2 linked regions of the Drosophila melanogaster genome follow. The protein of the gene in region 2 interacts with the protein of the main gene of each other region in a pairwise test. Each region holds a gene or a part of one and is shown on either strand. Other genes may lie near its edges.

What was found. Proteins that work in one complex are often made in the same cells at the same time.
Region 1: the proteins of CG16985 (region 2) and CG43373 interact in a two-hybrid assay, tested with the Drosophila melanogaster proteins (one large-scale study listed by BioGRID).

What each region holds. Positions count from the first base shown.
Region 1 is NT_037436.4:16,540,371-16,546,504, forward strand, and holds the start of CG43373 (uncharacterized protein), read right to left. Parts: upstream 3,001-6,134; 5' UTR 2,795-3,000; intron 1-2,794. Other genes in the region: CG13033 (uncharacterized protein), read right to left, coding at 4,297-4,929, 5,164-5,166.
Region 2 is NT_037436.4:2,595,053-2,601,193, forward strand, and holds CG16985 (uncharacterized protein), read left to right. Parts: upstream 1-4,267; 5' UTR 4,268-4,304; coding exon 4,305-4,328; exon of another isoform or gene 4,329-4,383; coding exon 4,384-4,449; exon of another isoform or gene 4,450-4,527; intron 4,528-4,635; coding exon 4,636-4,780; intron 4,781-4,844; coding exon 4,845-5,059; 3' UTR 5,060-5,190; downstream 5,191-6,141. Other genes in the region: CG16984 (uncharacterized protein), read left to right, coding at 818-923, 980-1,797; CG12182 (uncharacterized protein), read right to left, coding at 1,938-2,090, 2,142-4,018, 4,213-4,267; CG16986 (uncharacterized protein), read left to right, coding at 5,818-5,907, 5,969-6,141.

The DNA.
Region 1 (6,134 bases), about 14 Mb from region 2:
TTGCAGTTGGGAAGAGCGAGCCAACTGACTGACTGACATAGGTGAAATTACATAAAAAGGCAAGAGTACAAATAACAAATCCGAGCCGAACAGAATGATTGAGAGGCAAAAAGACACGCCATTCAGTCATCAATAGAATATGGCCCAATATCAAATGACTCCCCCCCCCCAATCCACTGAATCCCCTGCCCCCATCAACTAAATCCCAATCAGTCGGCGAAAATCAAAGCGAAAATCAGCGCCCGGCAAAAGTCAAATTAGAAAACAGGACGAACGAAAAAAAAAATAAAACGGAAAAACAACGAGAAGTATATTAAGCTTTTCGTTAGCAAACCAAAATAACACCCTTCTAAACATTTGCGTTTTTTGACAAACATAAAATATTTAACTAAAGTTAGTTATTAGTTTGGACATACAAATGAGAATATTAACTGATTAGGTTTCACATGAACTAAAAGCATTGTCTCAGCTTTTAATATAATTCCTCATCACAGTTTTTCTGCAGCATGCGATGAGAAAATACCCGTCTGTTAGGGTAAAAAAAAAAACATAGAAATCAGTCATGGACAAATGAAGCGTCAAATTAGAAAATAATGAAAACAGAAATAAACAGCAAATCTATATAAAGTATATGAAAATATATACATACAATGCGGGGAAATCATAACAAAAACAGAGATACTTGAGCCGGAAGCGTGCTCGCTCGCTCGCTGGCTGGTTGGCGGCACAACAATGAATCAAGGATCCCAGGACTCAAGGATGCAGCCCGTAAAGACAGCCAAGCGGCAAAGATAAACCCGCATTGAAATCACCAAATGAATGGGATTGGTGGTGCGGTGCGGGGGGTTGAGTTGGTATTGCGATTGAAATGGGGCGGTGGGGTTATGTTGTGGTTGTGGTCTTGCCATTGTTATTACTGCTGTAATACGCTTTGCGAGGAGATTACAATTTCTGATTACTTTGTTATTAATAAACACAAAAAGCGTGCCAAACACACGGCCACAGGCACAGAAATGCATGCCGACACACAGAGAATACATACTCTTGAATACTCTTGGCAGCAATGCAGTAATCGAATTTCATAACAATGGAATATAGAATTTTATATTATATTATTTACAACCAATTAAAACTTGCTGAATTCCTATTTTCTCGTTAGCAAACATGTTGGATTTCTTCATTATCTATAGCAACTAAATAAATACATGGAAATTAAGTAAGAATTCCAGTTTTAAACCGGAAAATTTCTTACTTCGACAACAAGTGTTTTCATAAATTAATCATAAAACTAAAAGTAGGCATATATACAATATTATATTATTTAAAAACTTTAACTTTAAGGTTTCAAAACCTTCACTAATGATTTCCATTTCTTGGACTTGATGGAATTTAAAATTGAATCATCCTTTTGTGAACTTTGTGTTTTGAATTCCATAAGAAGCGCTTAATGCAGAAAAAGTTACTCCCATAAACTACCTTTCCAATCTATGAAAAACCGTTGACAATGACATTTAGCACCCAAACCACCCACCCACAGTTTTCCCTTTTTACCACCCTAAACCGCCTGTCTGCGTCGCGTTTATTTTATCATTTTTTTGCTTTGTTAGGCAAAACTGTTTATTAATAAACTTTTCTCTGCTGAGGCCCACGGAGGCGAACAACAAATACGAGATATACAACACAGAAACAAGAGCAGCCCTTTTGCAGCGCTGGAAAATCAAGGGAAAATGCATTTCGTGCGAAAGACGAATTGAATGAAGCTGCTAAGCCAACTAGCTGTAGTATTAAGTTGCCGATCGGATGGAATTAATTGAATATTACATTTCAAAACTGCCGACCGACTGACTTTACCAACTTCGCACAAACATGGCTTTAACTGCTTTAACACAGCAGCAGCATTTGTTGCCAAATTAATTGCATTTTAATTGCGAATGAGAGAGCAGCGTAAAGAGTTTTGTGATTAAATTAAGTGTGTAAAATGTGTTTTCTTTTGGCCACATTCTTCTTCACAAGCCATTCGGTTTGCAGCTATTTCGGTTATTCAATTTATTTTGCAATTTTAATGCGGCCTTAATTAATATTTAATTTCGATTTATTCGAGTTGTTGCGGCTCCTCGAGTTCATCTTTATTCACAGTGGGTATTTCGTTTCGTTTATGGTAATTTTGATTTATGTGTGCAAATGATTTGTGGCGTCACATTTTTTGGGCTCATTGTGAATTTTCCATCTTATTTATCTTAAAGATTCTTGTAATACTTGTTATGTTTACAAATTAGTTTGGTTTGCCGATTTTATTATCGCGCAATTTAATTTTGCTTTTTTCATGCTTCTGTTACATTACATTTCAAATCCACTGCGCTGGTTTTTTTTTTTAAGTCTATATATATTTTTTTATGCATGAAAGGGATTATTTATTGGTTTATAGTTTCTTGTTTAATTGTTTTTAAAAACAATGCATTCTTAAATTTATATGTTTTGTATAGACTGTAATTGTATACTGTTGCATACGCTTTTCTTTGCTCGTTGCACTTCTTTTTTGGGAAGATCTTTTAAACATGAAATTTATAAGTTTTCTTAAAAAGTGTTTACAAAAATGTGTTCACGCTTTTACATCACACAAATAAAATAAAGTTTAAAGTTTAAAGACCACCTTCAATTCAAAGAACTCTGTACTTAAATTCTGTGTTAGCCTGTTAACGATTTCGTTTTCGACTTGTCTCATAAACTCGATAGTACTACAAGTATCTGAAGTTGTTTTATCCATTATCACTCTTTTGATGCACCGTTCCCTCACCTCTCCACACACTTTCACTTTCGGCTCCACTGGCCGATTTTCACATATCGGTTGGCGGAGAGGAGATGGACTCCTCTATGGGGCATTATCTTGTATCTATGGCCCTTCAAACGCTTTTCACTGTTGCTCGGCCGAATATTTGTATCTCGCTCGCTCGCACTCACTGTCTTCAGCCGGGCCGCATTTTCCGGTTCTTCAGATTCCGTTCCGTTTACATTCGGCAACAATAAACCCGCAACTAAGTTGAATTTTCCTCGGCAGACGGCTTATATACGATTTTCCCAGTCGTCGCTTCGTCGAATGTTGAATGGCCAAAGCTTCGGCAGGCTTTTCTCGCATTTTCCGCAAGCTTTTCCCGCCTTCAACACTCAACGAAACTTGGGCGATTCTTTCAATCGGATACTGTTTACAGGTGTTTGTTTTGGCCCCGATTTGTTGAGGTTTATGACCACCAAAAAAAGATACGGAAAATGAGGAAGGAATGAAAAGAAAAATTCGGTAGAGTGCAATGCACTTAAAGCTTTTTGGTTTGGATTTTTATTTGTTTTTGATATCTCAAGGAAAACAACGAATGTGCAAAGAATCCACAAAATTTCTGACACTTGTTGCTTCTCAATTTTATTCCAACTGCGCGTAAAAGTAGGCAAACAATTTTCCTGTTCCTCGTACTGAATTATTCATTAGTAAAATCGACAACGGCTAACCGCCGGAAACATAAAAATCCCATATATATTTGGGCACAGCACAAACAGGCCGCCAAAACAAGAATAACATTTAAAACTTTTCAAATATTTATACGGCCAATTGGAAATTTGCTGAATTATTGAACTGACTCAAAGTTGTCCGTGGAAAAGTAAGGAAAACGCAGTAACAGGAAAACTTTCCTCAAGATTGGTTAATGGAAATGTATGCCAAGCGGCAAACACGTAAAGAAAACAATAAAACCCGGGCACAATCCGCCGCAAATCAATTGGGAGTGGTGGTGGTCAGGGAGGTGTGGCAGGCCCAAAGGACTCACGCAGCAAGGACCTCGCAGGACTGCGACAATATCTCACGCAGAAGAGTTCCTTGCGACGTTCCGTGCGCATTGTGAAAACATTTTTCTAATTTCCTGTCATCAATATAAATGAAATGTTCACGGCAGCAATCGAGTTGCTGCGAGGTATGAGTAGGGTTAAATGGGTATATTAGTTAGAGGAATGACGTGAAACTCTGAAGTAATTCCACATGCATGAGCACAGTGAGTAATTAATATTGTTTACCAAGGATTTCTAAACATGCTAATAAAAAATGTTACATTTTGCTCTCTTTTGACTAATACGACACTAAGTACTGGGTACTTTATAGTCGCATCACCTGATCACTTGAGCCACTTTCCAATATCGTGTGAAACCAACAGAGTCGGGAAAGTATTTGTCTATGTATTTTGTAAAATTAAACAACAATTGTCGCACAGAACAGAAACAGAAATTCGTAGTGGAATATACAGTAAGTGTTACGGACTAGAAACGGAGTCGCTTCACGGAGCGATAATGGTATCCATCGTCCAGGAGGGCCGAGGAGTCCTCCTCGCCATTGGGCAGCTCCTCCACAACGGCATTGCCGTCCAAGGGAGGCAGATACTCCTTCACGGGCAGCAGATTCGGAACCACAGATGGAGTACGATAGTGGTATCCGTCGTCCAGGAGCACTGCGGACTCCACCTCCTTCTCGGGCTCCTCCTCCTCCACGGTTTTCACTTCCACCTCCTCTTGCGGTTCCGTGATTATCTCCGCTTCCTGCGGCTGTTCGGTGGTGATGATAACTGCCTCGGTGGTTGGCTCCGCTGTGGTGGTTTCTTCTGGAATTATTACCTCGGTTGTGGTGGGCACCTCTTGCTTCTGCTCCTCCTCCACCACAGGTGGCAAGTACTCGTTGTTCAGCGGAGGCAGGTAATCACGGGGCGGCTGAAGGACATGGTTCAGGGTGGCGGCATGCTGCTCCACCGGCGGCAAGTAATCGCGACTGGGCACAGGTGGCAGCTCCACTGGAGGCAGATACTCCAGCGGCAGGTGGCTAACATCACGGCGAACCACTGAACGACAGCTGGCCAGGCTCACGACGGCCAACAGCAGGCAAATCTCCTTGAATCCTTGCTGGAAACAAAGGAAAGGCCACATGAACAATATCAACTTTCATTAAATAAAAAGAAAAAATAAATTTAACAATAAAATGTCTTCAGTTTTTTATACAATAGAATTTCGTCTGTTAAAATGAATGAAAAGTTATTAAAATTTAGATAAGAAAAAAGTTTTTCATTTCAGAATGTGTATCTTTCTTCAAAGAGTTAACTGTGTTTTATTAAATGTTAATTCTGCACTATGTCTTACCATCTTTGTTGTAACTTAAATGTTTGCTTCACTTGCTCTGCGATCTGGATCTGACCTGCTCAATCGATTGGAGCTGTGGTTGCGTTTTGCTGCTGCTGTTGAAATCGTTTTAAGTATTTATACAAAAAATTAGCAGGGCGGCCGAAAGAAGTTCGATGGTCAATCGAACGCAATCGAACCGCATTAACACATATTTGACGAAACGCCGTTGGCCAAGTTAAGACGTCTTCAGACGTGTTCGACACTCCCAGCCGGATATGTTCGACGTTTTGGGCCCTGACAATGGTCATTGATCGTTAAAGAGCTGAAGATTGGCGTTCGGAGATTATTATTATTATTATTATGTGTTTGCCCATTTGCTCTGCACTATTTGATTGCCGAAGAATCTGTCAATATTATCGTTAGAGATTACCTTAGACCATACCATTCCATACCTCATTCCCTTCCGCCATTCTACAAATATCATTTTTCCCATATTTATTCATTTCTTAATGTTTTCGGGGGAGGGCCTTCGAAGCGTGGTTTCAATGTCGCCCTCGCAAAGGGCCAATGTCAAGTGTTTTGGGCCATTGTAACAATTACACCAACTGCAGGTCGACGATGACGGTGCTGTACATACATATAGCTGAATATATTGTATGTATCTCTTCGATCAGAATTGTGTCGGGGAAGTCACGCGGATTACAGCGGATCGATGTAATTTGTTGCTGCATCATTCAACAGCAATTAACCGACTTATCGCACTTGACCGGTGCTGTAAAATGGATGTGGGTTCAAAACACCGAGGGCTCTTCAACGTTTGAAGCCGGCTTAAGATGAAATTGAAAACGAAACTCCAATTCGAAATCGAAAACATAGACAAAATGAAAATGAAACTGAATCATCCACAAAGGAAATGCATGAATGAAAGCCGCACGAGAAGAGGGAAAGCCACAAGAATATATTCAATCAAATGTCATAAACCAATCGAA
Region 2 (6,141 bases):
TGGTTCAGCTAAATGAAATCATATCTCCAGTACATCTACTTGTCAACGTGCAATAGCAAAGGAAGGACCATGTTGCTGATCCGAGATTTTCGTAGTGCCTATTGGTGGTCAGCTGAGGAGAGCTGACCCCATCCAAAAACAGTGCAAATTTCGAGTGGCTTTTACATTCGTTAACATCGTCAAATTCATTATTCATTAAACCACATATCTAGCTTGTAAGACGGCACCAGCATTTCTGTGTGCTGTTTTGAATCTGTAATCTGTAACCCGTATCTGAATCTATGTCGTATTCGTATTTAAATCGTGCTTCCAACACTTCCATGTTTATTGTTAAGCTTCGGAATCAAAATGTAACCATGACAAACGATCTTAGTGCTAATTTTACAATGCAAACAATTATTTTATATACGCAAGCGAAATATTTATATACACGAATTTTATATGGTAACAAATTATTTACAATTTAATAATGTAACTCGTGTGCGACACAAGCTGTAGCTTGATTTTGTGCTTTAAAAAATATATATACAATAATACCAATTTTGTGTGTTCTCCTAAAAGATCCAGAACAAATATCGAATTCCGATTGCTAGAAAATATCTGAATATTACAATATCACCAGGAAACGATGTTGCCTTCTGTTTATTCTGGAAATCCTATAGCAACCTTTGTTTCGAGTTAAATCAATCCAAGTCAACGCAGAGGTACTTGGCAACGCAGGAGTCTCCACCAAACAGACTGTTATTATTAAACGAATAGTCAGTAAACTAGCACGCTTTCGAGTTCCCTACCTTCATCCTTACATATTTGTATTACAATGTCCCTGGTTTATATCACCCATCACGATGAGAATATTCTCGAGTGCGAGCAGGACTTTGTGAAGGCCCAAGGACCTAAGGAATCAATTTTTGTCTACAAAAATCGTAGGGATTCGTACTAAAAATCGTTACCTCCCACCTAACTTTAAGCAATTTTGCAGCTGTTGTGGAGAGGGCAGCCAAGTATGCCAAGAGACTTCGCGAACGCTTTAACGAGGAGGACAAGAAGCTATCGATTATCCTCCAGAACGATGGAACCCGCGTCCTGACAGAGGCCAAGAAATCAGCCCACCGCACCATGGGCTGTGCTCACACTCCGATTGACCCACCGTGCGCCTATTTGCGCAAGAGCCAGGGCATCAAATGGCGGCGAGAGAACACCCACAAGTGTCCCAAGATGCCGCCAATGCCCCCACTACCACCACCGGGCAGTGGCGGCAAAAAGCCGGCAATGGTACCTAACTTCATCAAACGCAACAAGATATGTGCCGGACAAACGGTTCCCTGTCCCCCGCCACCTCGTTATGTAGACACTCCCGTGGGAGCTCGTCACGATCTACTCAATTCCGGATTGGTACCGCAGTTTATCTGCCGCAAGGATTTCGGCAAGGTGCCTGTTTACCTCAAGAAAACCAAGAGGATGTTGGCCGACATGAATGCGGTGTGTGCCAAGGAACAGGCACGTTTGCTGGAGCTGTGCCGCGGTATCAAGGGTTTCACCAGGGCATCCGTCCAATCAAGTGGTCCGCCGCCAATGCCGGGTATGCGGGTGATGGAGCAGGCCGAGCGAAATGAGATCCTCGAGGGACTGCGACTGAGCCTGACCGAGATGACCAAGCAGTATCAGTCGATGTCGCTCCTTATCGACAGCATCGCCAAGCGGCAGCGCAAAAGCAAGCTGGAGTCCGATCTTCGCCAGGTGGAGCAGGACATTCTGCTAATCGAGACCACTCCCATTATCTATGTTTCCGAGTACTAACAATGACACACACACCTTTTCTGACCATGTGTGTCGGCATCTGGAAGCCGAGTGAGGTGTCTCCATGGATTCACTTGCTTTGCTCTTAGAGGCGGACACACAAAACACTTCGTAATTAAGATTGAGAATAAATTTAACGTTTATGCATTAAACATTTCCGTGGCAAAGCTTCCATGGCAAACGGGACATGTCAGATGTCTCCCCGACTCGTAGAGTTCTTGCAGATTGTCCAGCTCGAATAGGATTTGGCGGTTGCAGAGGCTGCAGTAGCGTCGCTCCAAGCTGAGGGAGATCTGTACGGATACTGTAGTCTTGTCTTAAAATGAATTCTAGTGAATTCTTACCTCCACAAAGGACACACTGCATCGATGAAGTTGCTTCTGGGGATTAGATATCACAGGTATACCTAGCATCTCGTGCAAGTGCTGAATATGGTTGCCCATTTGTTCAACGAATGTCCTTGCTGTGGATCCTAGGGCATGGTTTTCCGTGAAGTCGTCATTGAGTTTATTTATCAGTCTGTGGGCCTCCTCGAACATACATTTTATCGCCTGCTCCTGGAATGGTGATCTCTTACTTAATGACCCAATAAACTGGAGCCTCAGTCTTATGTGTGTGATATTCAGCATCGCAAGGAGCAGCTGCAGTTCATCCCGGGACTTTTGGATGTGAACTGTCAGCTGGAGGTGGCTCGATTGCAGGCGAATCACGTTTTGAAGAACATGAAATTTAATTTGCAGCTGCTGCAGCTGACCTTCAGTGGCGGTATCGGCAAATTCAATGGAATCTAATGGACAAAAGTCCATAAATTTTTGCCAATTCTCCTCGGCAAAAACGTGCAGACGTAGTCCAGCTAATAAATCGGTATAGTGATTCATGGGCTTATTGGATTCCAGATGCCTGACAAGCTGATCAAGTGGATCCTGATTCCCCACCTTGAGCACTTGCATAACCAACTGGTTCTTTTGAGATACAGTTTCATTTAGATATTCCTTGTTGCGGTAGAGTAACAGGGTCATTAAGTTCTTGTGCCTACTGGTGCACAGTCCCATCACCTGGAAATCCTGAAGGACACCCATGGCTATCGATTGCATCTGCAGGCTAAGCTGATTATTCTCGTGGATAATTTGTACGCAAGACAAACAGCTTCCAGCGGTTCCTGCAACGTAGCTACTGTTCTCCAGGCTGCAGAGAGCGGTGATCTTCATTCCGCCGACATAGATCCGAGCTTGCAGGCAGTCTGTGCTCCCCGTTCTTGGCATGCTCCAGGTCAGCAGGTGCGCCGCCTTGCAGCAGGTTATATAATAGCAATCCATTCTGGGACATTCAGTGATCACTGCCATTTGCAGACCCATGCGATCGGCTTTCTCCCACAAGGGCTTCACTAAGGCGAGAGCTGTATTTCCCTTAGCTGGCAATTGGTACAGGTGAATGAGTCCGTTGCTATCGCCCACCAGTAGAAGGTCCTTGAAAGCTTGTATATGGCAGATACGACCCATTGAGGTTTTCGTTTCTTGATGACTTAAAAGAGTTTTGACATCGGCGCTTAGTGTGAGCAACCACAAACTTCCTGCGGCTGTTCCCAGAACCAAAACATGCTGGCCAGTGGCATCTGCATCATCAGGTAACCAAGCAAACATAGTGATCCAGGCGGGATTAATATATTCTTGATAGCTCTTAAAGTCTTTTATCTTGGCGATGTCCACTTCAGGCAGCAGAGTGTCCCTCAGAGTTTCAGCGATATTTAGTCCTTCCACAGGGTTCCAACGATTGTACTCAGCGGACTTGTTTATTAGGCTCAAGGATCCATAAGTGTTGAGGGAGCCCAGGAGGAGATTTCCATTAGCTGCCAGCTTGGGTGCTCGCTTAACAGCTGTTAGTCTGGCTGGTGGCACGGCAACGGAGCACACAGCCGTGTATGCCGGGTCCAGGGCCAAGTGCTGTGCCTCCAGGACATCGCAGCTGTCGTATATGGCAACCAGATCCACTTTGTTGGCCAAAACGTCCAGAGGTCGTGTTTCCGCAGCGTTGGAATCATAAATGGCCACAAAATACGGAAAGGGATCCACGACCATGAACTTGCTGCTCAATTCCAGAGTGATCACTTCCGATTTGGAGCCGCTCAGTGCTATAAAGTCTCCATCGGAATCGCTGTTTACAAAGTCGTGTACCGAGTCCTGGCGGACGAATCCTTTGGCTAGAAGGTGAAAATCCAGATAATCTAGAACGAAATTAAACATTTATTAATTGCAATAACAAACTGCAATTATATTACAAGATATTCCAGTTACACTATTTCATTGAAGAATAGGAATTATTTGTAAGTGCGAACAGAGCGAGCACAACAAACCGCGCGAAATCGGCAATCACTATCTCAGATGTGTGGGTATATCTATTTAGCACGCATACACTCACATTTCCCGACATCTTGAACGCCATGTGAAATTTCTCCCTCAGTAACTTTCGTCATTTCGTCGTGCTCAGTTCAGGAATCCAAATCCACCGGAATGGCGGCCAAGAAACTGGGAATGGTTAGAGCACCATGTAACTTGTTGAGTAGATAACTGAAGTTCTTTCTTTTCAAAGGACTTTGTGAAGCAGATGTCCGAGTACGCCAGCGGGTCCAATGGATTCGACCGCGTCTTGAAAATGGTAAGATTCTAAACAATTTGTGCAGCCGATTTTAAAGCGACGCCGTCGAAGTCTCTCAAAAACAGCTGACTGTCATCAGTGATGGTATTACATAATTCAGCTCGCTGCAATCGATAACCGTGAAGTGCTCACCTCTCTCGTGGGATCTTCAGAGATTCAAAAATGTAAACAAATTTCAATTCGCAGATTAAAATTACAGGCGGTGGAGATGGTCGCGCAATAGGGGAGTTCACTGTGGCCAATGAGCATTTGAATCGCCAAGGAACTTTGCACGGTGGTCTTACGGCAACAATTGTTGATAATTGTACCACATATGCCCTTATGTCGAAAGGTATTTTGAAAGTTTGTTTATTACAATCTATAGAATCTACAATGAAATTTTTTTAAATTTCAAGGATCCCATCCCGGAGTTACGGCCAACCTGAATGTAAGCTACATTGCAGCAGCGAAACCTGGCGAACTTATTGAAATTGATTGTAATACCGTGCGGGCCGGTAAGAAAATGGCCTATTTGGACTGCATTCTGAGGCGTAAGTCCGATGGAAAGATCATCGCCAAGGGCGGACAGGTCAAGTACATTCAGTTCGACAAGGAAAAACTGGATTTTTAAAACAATTTTTGTAGATCGTCAGAAAACGAAATAAAATCTTTCGAACCTCTGCTTAAGACGTACTAGTTTAATTATTTATTATTTCTTAAGTTAGTTATTTCTTAATTTACAAAATAAAGATATTTAAAACTAAAATAGATGAAAGACTATAGAAATCCCAACGGATAATTTTTAAATAGGTAGGACTTTGCATATCGATTTGCCCTTTTAACTTATCGATTGGCGATTCTGCTTATCGCAAAACAGCTGTTGTTTGTTTTGAAATTGTTTTGTTAGGTGTTACGTTAGATTTTCAGATTTTTATGTAAATTTCGGGCAGTACGGGGATAGTTAGGTAGGATCCGTTAACTAAATACTAACTATTTCATAATATCGTGCTATATTATGTTTACCTTATTTTTTGATACTTGCTAATTGTTTACTTTTCATCGAAAAGCGGAAAACTGCACTCGAAGATAATGAAATCAAATATTGAAAAAATCAAAGCAATCCATTTGTTAATATACTACTGTGATTTATTTTTTAATGGATTTAGTCCCATCCAAACTTACACACGTCATACATACAATAAAGTTGGATTGTTCTATTGTAAAACAATTACTATCTGACACTTGAGATATAAGTGCACGTTACGACTACTTATCTATCTACAAAACTAAATCTAGTATATTTCTAATCGTTCCGATCGGACAAACTAATTCATTTTGTAGTTATATAGAAGCTAGCGGATCGTCTGTAAAGCAACATCAATAAATAATATGGGAACTCGCAAGAAGGGACTCGAATTCGCTAAACACATCACCGAGATTATCAACAAGTCAACGGGCTTTGAAAGTCACCTACAGAAGGTTAGATCACCATAGAGTCTCCTTACCAATATCATTATCTCATCCTTATATTCCATTAAAGGTCAAGATCGTAGACGGTGGCGATGGAGCCTGCACTGCTGAGCTAAAGGTGGACCAGGATCATGTGAACTTGTACAAGTTTTTGCACGGCGGTTATATCATGACCCTGGTGGACTTGATAACCACCTACGCCCTAATGTCCAAGCCATGTCATCCCGGAGTTTCGGTAGATCT